2 linked regions of the Arabidopsis thaliana genome follow. The protein of the gene in region 2 interacts with the protein of the main gene of each other region in a pairwise test. Each region holds a gene or a part of one and is shown on either strand. Other genes may lie near its edges. The genes, in order: AT3G59740 and SDR1.

Region 1 (4,672 bases), 590 kb from region 2:
TATGCGGCCAACGAACTAAGATAAGTAAGCAAACTTAAGAGAGAAAAAACACATGTACACTATTTAGTAATTACGCACTGTGCATGGCCAAGATAAAGTCGTAAATCAATTATAAGAAAACAAATCTTCTAATTCTTGCTAAGATTAAATAGCGATTATAGTGGAAAGCATAATAAGCAATAATCAAAAAAACTTTTCTTCTCAGATCTCTACCAAAGAAATAAAAAGGTCAAAAAAGCTTCTCTTATCTTTTCTACAACCTAATCCGTCGAACATTACGGAGCGTAGAAATGGATAAACAATGTAAGTTTAACAACCAACGTGTTGACCATAAAATGTAAAAAAAATAAGTTTTTTGACATGTTTTAATGTAAAGTTTAACAGATTTTGTATTGGTCTACAGAAAAAAAAAAGTTAATTAAGTTATAAGTCATTGCTCTTGAAAATTTGGTTTTATAAACAAATTCGAACAAGATTACTTTGAAAGCAAGAATGAAACAAACATATTATAACCCTAAAAGTAAACCCTAGAAATTTAGGGATGAATTGGAAGGCATTCATGATTCAAAGATACAGAAACATGTACTCATTTATCAAATAGACGGATACAGAAGCTCCCGATGGAATATAAATGTTTGATCAAAACTAACTTATTTTTATGGTTTCAGCGTCCATGGGACACAAAAGAATTCGTCAACGTCATTGTACCAAAAGAATTCAGATCAAGACCAAGTAGTACTTCCATTGATGTCTCAGGAATTCCTCTCAATCTCTCAGCCCTAACAACATCAAGAAGATTATTGGGAAGATGCGAAACGCCATTCAAGATCTGCAAAACCGCACTCATGTTCGGTCTAATCAATTCAGTGTGATGTGCACACAACAGACCTAGCTTCAAAACAAGCTCAATTTCTCCTCTGTTTTGTTCTTGACGAATACTTTCCTCAGCTGCATCGAAAAGTTTCCCACTTTCCCAAAGCTCTAAAATCCAATCAACAAGAACCGCTTCATTTTCTGCTGCACGTCTCTCAATCAATCTTCTACCACAAACGACTTCAAGCATAACCAACCCAAAGGCGTAAACATCTGTGCTTGTGGTTGCTCTTCCTGTTCTTAAGAGCTCAGGTGCAATATAACCTAATGTTCCCGCTACTCTAGATGTCTGAGGATCAAATCCCTGATCATACAGCTTCGCCAATCCGAAATCCCCGAGCCTCGCATTCATGCCGTGGTCGAGTAGAACATTAGCCGGTTTTATATCTCGATGAACGATGACTTGTACCCATTCTTGATGCAGGTGTAGTAGAGCAGTTGCAACGTCTTTGATGATCTTGAAACGTTGTTCCCAAGTAAGCCGTTCTTGATTTTCATTCGTGTTGCTACGGGTTAGACACCTGTCAAGGCTTCCATTAGGCATAAAGTCATAAACTAAGTAGAGATTCTCTTTATGCTTACAATATCCCAAAAGCCTGACTAGATTTGGATGTCTGAGACGACCAATGGTCGATATCTCGGCTAGAAATTCGCTCATCCCTTGTCTTGAATCATGAGAAGTCCGTTTTACAGCGATCTCTGCATCGGAACCCGGAAGCATTCCTTTGTAGACTTGACCAAAGCCTCCTTTCCCAAGAAGTTGTTTCTCTTTGAAACCCTTTGTGGCATTGAAAAGCTCCTTATAAGAAAACCTATGAGGTCCATTCTGAATCTCCCATTCTTCAAGAACCTCCTTAACCTTCTTATGCCTCACATAAAAGACAAAACCTATTCCGGAAGCGACTAATGCAGTGAACACGGCCAACGTTAAGCAGACCGCTAAAATCCTCCGTGTTCTATCATACGACTTCTTTGGATATGGAGGAAGGGTTGGGATTACGCCAAGGTCCCATGCTGGATATATAACTCCTTCTTCATAGGAAAATTGCATCACATAATAGAGTGCTCCGATCGACCCGGTCGATGCCGTGAAACCCAAGTACGTCTCCTCCAAAAAATAGGGCGAGAGATCTCGGTTCAAAGACAAGAGCGATTTTTGTGGCGGAACAGAGATTTCAGCAGGTAATAAAGTAACATTGAGCTGTTTATCGGTGTGACTATAAACGATGGAAAGCCTCATTACCTTTGTGCTGATCAAAGAAAGCTTTTTGAAGTTTCCATCTTCATCATCATAGTAACCAGCAGAAGCAGAGGCAACAGATGTCAAACCATTAATGTTAATCCCAACATGATTATCATCAATATCTCCAAACTCTTCGTCTTTTCGTATATCTAACTCGATAGCTATAACGTTATTCGAGGCTTTACCGTTGTTTGTCTCGTTAAAGATTCCCAGGTATTGATCGGGGGAAGCTCCGGGAAGGCCTCTTGTAGGAGAGAAAACGAAAGCCATACCGTGTGAACCTTGCTGCTTATGTTCAGGGACGATCCCGAAGATGATGTTGAATGAGAAAGATGAGTTCTTGATGGGAACGGGAGTGTTGTTGAAAGCTTGACCGTAGGAATGCTTCGTGGTGTTTGTTAAAAGGCAATAACCGTTTAAACCTGCAGCTGCAGCTTCTTCCATGAGGAAGTTGCCATTGGAGTTGTGAGTAGATGAAAACAGAGTAAGCAACAGAACGAGAACTATTTGTAAGACTTTATGAGACATGTTCTTGTTTGTTATTTTTTGGCTTATGGGAAGGTTATGATCTTAATGTAATATTTATCATCTCATAAGAATTACGGTCGAAAATAATGGGAACCCAACGTTCTTTTTTTCTTTTTATTTTTGTTATTCTTCGTTAGTAATAAAAAAACATATGTATTTAAGCACATGAGCTAGATCAAGTCGTAAAGCAATTATAGTGGGACTGGTAGAGCGTGTCGTCAAAAGACAGAACTTTTCTACGATCTTAATACTTTGAAGTATTAAATTACTAATAACAACAGTGTGAAAAGCATAATTAAAAAGCAGCAATCCAACAAAGCTATTTTTCCACAACCATTTTGTAGAAAAAACAACGTATGTTTAACATTTTTAATTTAGTGTAGATTCTAACAAATTCTCTACTGGTCTGAAGGCAAAAGTGAAGTTATATGTCACTAATTTGTCATGGTTTGATCATTATATATTGAGATTAATCCTATGTAGTGTAACAACATCAAAGTAGTTTAGAATGTTTTTGGTTATATGTCACTGATTTGGCAATTCACGCCATTTTGTTTTGACGCCATTGCTCTTGAAAGTTCGGTTTCTTAAACAAATCCAACAAGAAAACTTTGAAAGCAGAAAATACAAAACATATTATATGTTGAGTCCTAAAAATTTAAGATATAAGAACTTGGGGATGAAACGGAAGGCTTTACTGATTCAAGATAAAGAAACCCTAATGTAGTGATTCATCAAATAGACGATACAAAAGCTTGAATGTAACTGTTCATTCAAACTAACTTCTTTAACGGTTTCAGCGTCCATGGGACAAGAAAGAATTTGTTAATGTCATTGTACCAACTGAATACAGATTAAGACCAAGTAGTACTTCGATTGATGTTTCAGGCATTCCTCTCAAGTTCTCAGCTCTTACGACATCAAGAAGATTATCTGGAAGCTGCGAAACGCCATTCAAGATCTGCATAACCGCACTCATGTTCGGTCTAATCAGTTCAGTGTGATGTGCACACAACAGACCTAGCTTCAAAAGAAGCTCGATTTCTCCCCTGTTTTGTTCTTGACGGATACTTTCCTCAGCTGCATCGAAAAGTTTCCCACTTTCCCAAAGCTCTAAGATCCAATCCACAAGAACTTCTTCATTTTCCGGTGCACGTCGCTCAATCATTCTTCTACCACAAACAACTTCAAGCATTACCAACCCAAAGGCATAAACATCAGTGCTTGTGGTCGCTCTTCCTGTTCTTAGGAGCTCAGGTGCGATATAACCAAATGTTCCCGCTACTCTAGATGTCTGAGGGTCAAGTCCCTGATCATACAGCTTTGCCAATCCGAAATCCCCGATCCTTGCATTCATTTCGTGGTCGATTAGGACATTAGCTGGTTTGATATCTCTATGAATGATGATTTGTACCCATTCTTGATGCAGGTGTAGTAGAGCAGATGCAACATCTTTGATGATCTTGAAACGTTGTTCCCAAGTGAGCCGTTCTTGATTCTCATTACGGTCTAGATACTTGTCAAGGCTTCCATTGGGCGTAAAGTCATAAACCAAGTAGAGATTCTCCTTATGCCTACAATATCCCAGAAGCCTGACTAGATTTGGATGCCTGAGACGACCAATGGTCGATATCTCGGCTAGAAACTCGCTCATGCCTTGTCTTGAATCATGAGAAGTCCGTTTTACAGCGATCTCTGCATTGGAACCCGGGAGCGTTCCTTTAAAGACTTGACCAAAGCCTCCTTTTCCAAGAAGTTGTTTCTCCTTGAAATCCTTTGTGGCATTGAGAAGCTCCTTATAGGCAAACCTATGAGGTCCATATTGAATCTCCCATTCCTCAAGAACCTCCTTAACCTTCTTATGCCTCGTATAGAAGACAAAACAGATTCCCGAGGCGACAAACACAGCGAACACAGCAAGCGTTAAGCAGACCGCTAAAATCTTCTTTGTTCTGTCAGACGATTTCTTCGGATATGGAGGAAGGGTTGGGACTACGATGAACTCCCATGTTGGATTCTCAACTTTTG
Region 2 (4,219 bases):
GGTTGTCCATTAACACATTCTTCATATGCTGCTCTCGATGGCGTCCTTTACTGTAAGGTCCACTTCAGCCAGCTTTTCCTTGAGAAAGGTAATTACAATCATGTCCTCCAAGCCGCGGCTAACCACCGTCGCTCGACGGCTGAGGAAGACAAAACCGAACCCAAAGAAGATGAAGCAAACCCTACAGAAGAAGAAACTTCTGATGCAGCAGCTGAAGAACATGAATCCTAAGAAATATCCGGGAGTTCCTTTTGTGAAATATATATAATCATAAATTGTTAAAGAGATAATTTCTTAACTAATGCAATGAAGTAGACTCAAATTTTGTTTAGTTTCTTCTTATGGAACTATATATTATTCTGTTTGTAAAGTAATTATATTCAAGTTTATGAGTAATTACCAAAACATCTCATAAAAGTTTTTGTTTATCTAAGAGTATATGTTCGACATTCAAACGATAATCCTCTCATTAAATTACTACATTTTTGGCTTATTATTCTCACACAAAAGAAGATTCAGAATTCTGAAACTTGCTTGCGACTAAAGAAACAACCAGAAGGAGTTTCTTGATGCGGAAGTAAAGCCAACCTCACAGGACTTGAAGCTCCTTCTTCCACAGACAAGACTCCAGTCTTGAAGTTCATATCTGTCTTAACAAATCCAGGACACACAGCGTTTACGCGAAACTCGGGATGTTTCTTCGCCAGGACCCTCGTGTAACCATTCAAACTTGCCTTTGAAACCACATAAGCCGACATAAATTTAGCCCAGTTTTTTTCCTTAACTGTACCTTCTTTGAAATCATTGAGAAGTTGGTTGATCACTTGGTCGATTCTTTCCTCAGTGAGATTCTCTGCGTCGCTCAGGATTCCTTTTGCCCATTCGTTTAGTACATTCTGGTAAACAATAATCAATTGTAACATAAATAGTGTTTCTTAGCCAACAATACATCTCTCAAGCTTCCTTGATATCTAATCTTTTCTTACTTACCTTTAGTTGACCCATGGAGGATGATACATTGACGATTCTTGGTGAATCAGATAACTTCAAAAGAGGAATAAACGCCTCACACATTCTCTTTGGTCCATAGTAGTTTATCTTGATGCATTCTTCAGTTAACTCATAAGTCTCCGTGATGATTTCATCCCACTTGAAACCTTCCTGCCATGTCGAATATAACAAGAAAACATTTAAATACTTCACAGAAGATCATCAATACTAATAATATCATGAAAGTAATTGCTTGCAAAATAATCACAAAGATTATCTCATACTTTCCCTGCCCCAGCTCTTAAAGCTTCAGCATCAGTGATTATACCACCAATCCCTGCATTATTGACCTGTAAAGCAATCATTCTAGTCAAAACCACGTTTGAAACTGTAAAGTCTAAGACCTGTTTCAGAGTAAACTGATCAAAGAGAGTTTACTAATAATGCCTACCAAGATATCGAGTTTCCCAAATTGGGTTTTCACAAACTCAGCAAGAGATGTGATACTAGCAGGATCAGCGACATCAAGCTGATGAAAAAGAAGGCTTTGATCAGAAATCTCAAGCTCTTTCTTCAGTGTCTCAACAGCTTCAAGTCCTCTGTTTTCGTCTCTAGAGGTCAAAACAACTCTAATCCCTTCACTAGCTAATTGTCTGCATATCTCAAATCCAATCCCTCTGTTTGCTCCAGTAACTACAGCATATCTACAAAAACCATTAAACAATCTGAGAAAATCAGAACCAAACTCACTAAGATTACAGACTAAATCAAGAACTAAGAGAAGATTTAAGACATACCTTGGAGTTTCCTCTGCCATTTTCGAACCTTTTTATTTCTGGGTTTTAGACAAAGAATATCAATAATTGGCGTTTCTTTTTTTCTTATGCGCATGCAGTGAATGCACAGAAACCATACGAAGAAATGTGGAGGCAAACGAAGCCACGTAGCTCAGAAATTGATGTTCATGGGAGATTAGACTTCTAATCCGACGCCGTTGTTTTAGTCTTGCATTATTTAAAGTTGAACATGTTAGTATATTTACCTGTGACGTCGATTTTCATAATTTACAGTTTTTTTTTCTTTTTCTTGCATTATATTGACACATATTTGAGATAACTAAAGTTATTATATTTGTTTGGAACAAAACGTTAATAAAGGCAATTTGTTTTCGTTAATAAAGGCAATTTGTTTGGAACAAAACGTTACTGATGATAGTTATCATATTTGGGCGATGGTTAATTACAAACTTACAAGTTATTATAATTTATTTTAGAGAATATTATATTGTGAGACACTTTTAAAAAGTTATTTGTCGATTTAGGCATTTTTAAGTTATGAGACACTTTTGTTAGACAAAATTCTCGATTTGCCCTTTAACTATATCTCTCCTACATTTACGCTAACAATTCTTCTTATTATAATTCTCTCTCTTTCTCGATACAATTCATCTCTCTCTCTCTTCCCCCCCTCCAATTCAATCCATCTCCCCCAATTCAATCCATCGGTTCACGGTAATTTCACAACAACAAAACAAAATCTTTTTTCTTTTCTCCTTCCTCACTCCAAAAACAAAATTTCACAATCAATCAATTGTTGTGAACCAAGCTTCTCGCTCAAATTGATTCTTCATATCTTCTTTCTTATGGCGACATGAGTTAGAACGTTATCGACCGCTTGATCAACATCACCGGCGCTTCTGACGTCGTCGTCGTTCATAAACTCAAGGTGATTTGAGTTTACTCATCTCCATTCATGTTTACTTTTGTCTTGCTTCGTGATTCTTCGTGTTTTTGAGGTGTCATAGTCTGGTTTTGATGTTATTGGAAGTTTCTAGAATCGGTATAGTGGAAAGTTTGATGTGACGAGATGCAGGAAGTTTCAATGTTGCAGAAATTTGAAAAATTGTTGTGAGATTGTGGATTTGATTGATTGTGGAATTGAAATTGTTTGGAATTGAAGGTATAAACTAACCTTAACTCTTATGATGAAATTAGATTGATTTGAACGATTTATTCAGACTTTGATTTTGCTAGTGGAGAGTATTAGCGTCAATTTACACATATATAGTATTTGATTGAGACACATTTATCTCTTTAGGTTTGATATGGAGGAGTGAAGTGCATCCCTTGATTTTTGTGTGGTTATTTCTCCTATAAAACTAAAGATTAATGGTTTGGTTTACTAAAAGCTTCCAAGTGTTTGGTGATCTTGTTCATAATTCTATGATAATGTTAGATAACTTCTCTGCCCCGTTTGTTTGAAATTCAGTACTTGATGTTCTCTATTGGACTACAACATTTGGACAATCCGTAATGGACAACCACGTATTTTGTTTGCAGCATATGTGTCTATAAACAAGTGATCAACCCACATAACGATGAGAGTGTCTATAAACAAGTGAACTAGTGGTCAACAAAAAATGGACGCTACTCGTGAAATTGGTGATATTCATTGATGTATGAACTTTTGTGTGTTGGTATGATTTGTTTTGACCAAGTTGTGATTCTTGCATCACCAATGATACTCTTATTCATTCAAATTATAATTGATGAAAGCTCTAAACATGAATCATTTGTGTTCAAGTGTTTGTCATGTTTCACCATTACTCCATATGGTCAAGTTTAAGTGGATGAGTTATCATGGACACAAACTATCATTATCTACTTGGATTTAGCGTGTTGATGTTTGAAAGTAATGTCTACAGATTGTTCTTGTGTTTTGGAGACCTATATGATTATTAGTTTCTACATAATGAAATCGTGTTGGAAGCTTTGATAATAACATGTCCACTTAGACGTGACCATGTGGAAATAATTGATTCTCGTATGCAAAGTAAAATACTCTTAACTTAGAAGTTCAACGATATTATCAATTTATCGAGCCAAAATCATATGATACCAAACAAGCTGATCAAATGGATATAAAATTCAATACTGGAATTGGCCAATTTGGTTTATTCACAACCTGGTGGTTCATGAAATCGAAAAATAAATTATTTAAGAGCAAAAACAGAAAACGATAGAAAAACGAAGAGGATGTGAATATGTGATGATATTACCATGGCAGTTCTTTAAATCCAACAGATCCTCTCTTATAAAAATCAGATTCATATTCTGAAGTTGGTGATCTGAAAAATTCTCCTTAATCAAAGCAGACACGGAGAAATCGGGAGATCCGATTAACTGGAAAAATAAAGTTGAATCTGATTGTTCAATCAATCTCTCTTTTT

Evidence for each region.
Region 1: the proteins of SDR1 (region 2) and AT3G59740 interact in a protein complementation assay, tested with the Arabidopsis thaliana proteins (one large-scale study listed by BioGRID).

What each region holds. Positions count from the first base shown.
Region 1 is NC_003074.8:22,066,415-22,071,086, forward strand, and holds AT3G59740 (Concanavalin A-like lectin protein kinase family protein), read right to left. Parts: upstream 2,645-4,672; coding exon 665-2,644; 3' UTR 573-664; downstream 1-572. Other genes in the region: AT3G59750 (Concanavalin A-like lectin protein kinase family protein), read right to left, coding at 3,441-4,672.
Region 2 is NC_003074.8:22,660,613-22,664,831, reverse strand, and holds SDR1 (NAD(P)-binding Rossmann-fold superfamily protein), read right to left. Parts: upstream 1,956-4,219; 5' UTR 1,808-1,955; coding exon 1,442-1,807; intron 1,341-1,441; coding exon 1,275-1,340; intron 1,162-1,274; coding exon 991-1,161; intron 897-990; coding exon 516-896; downstream 1-515. Other genes in the region: PLIM2c (GATA type zinc finger transcription factor family protein), read left to right, coding at 1-231.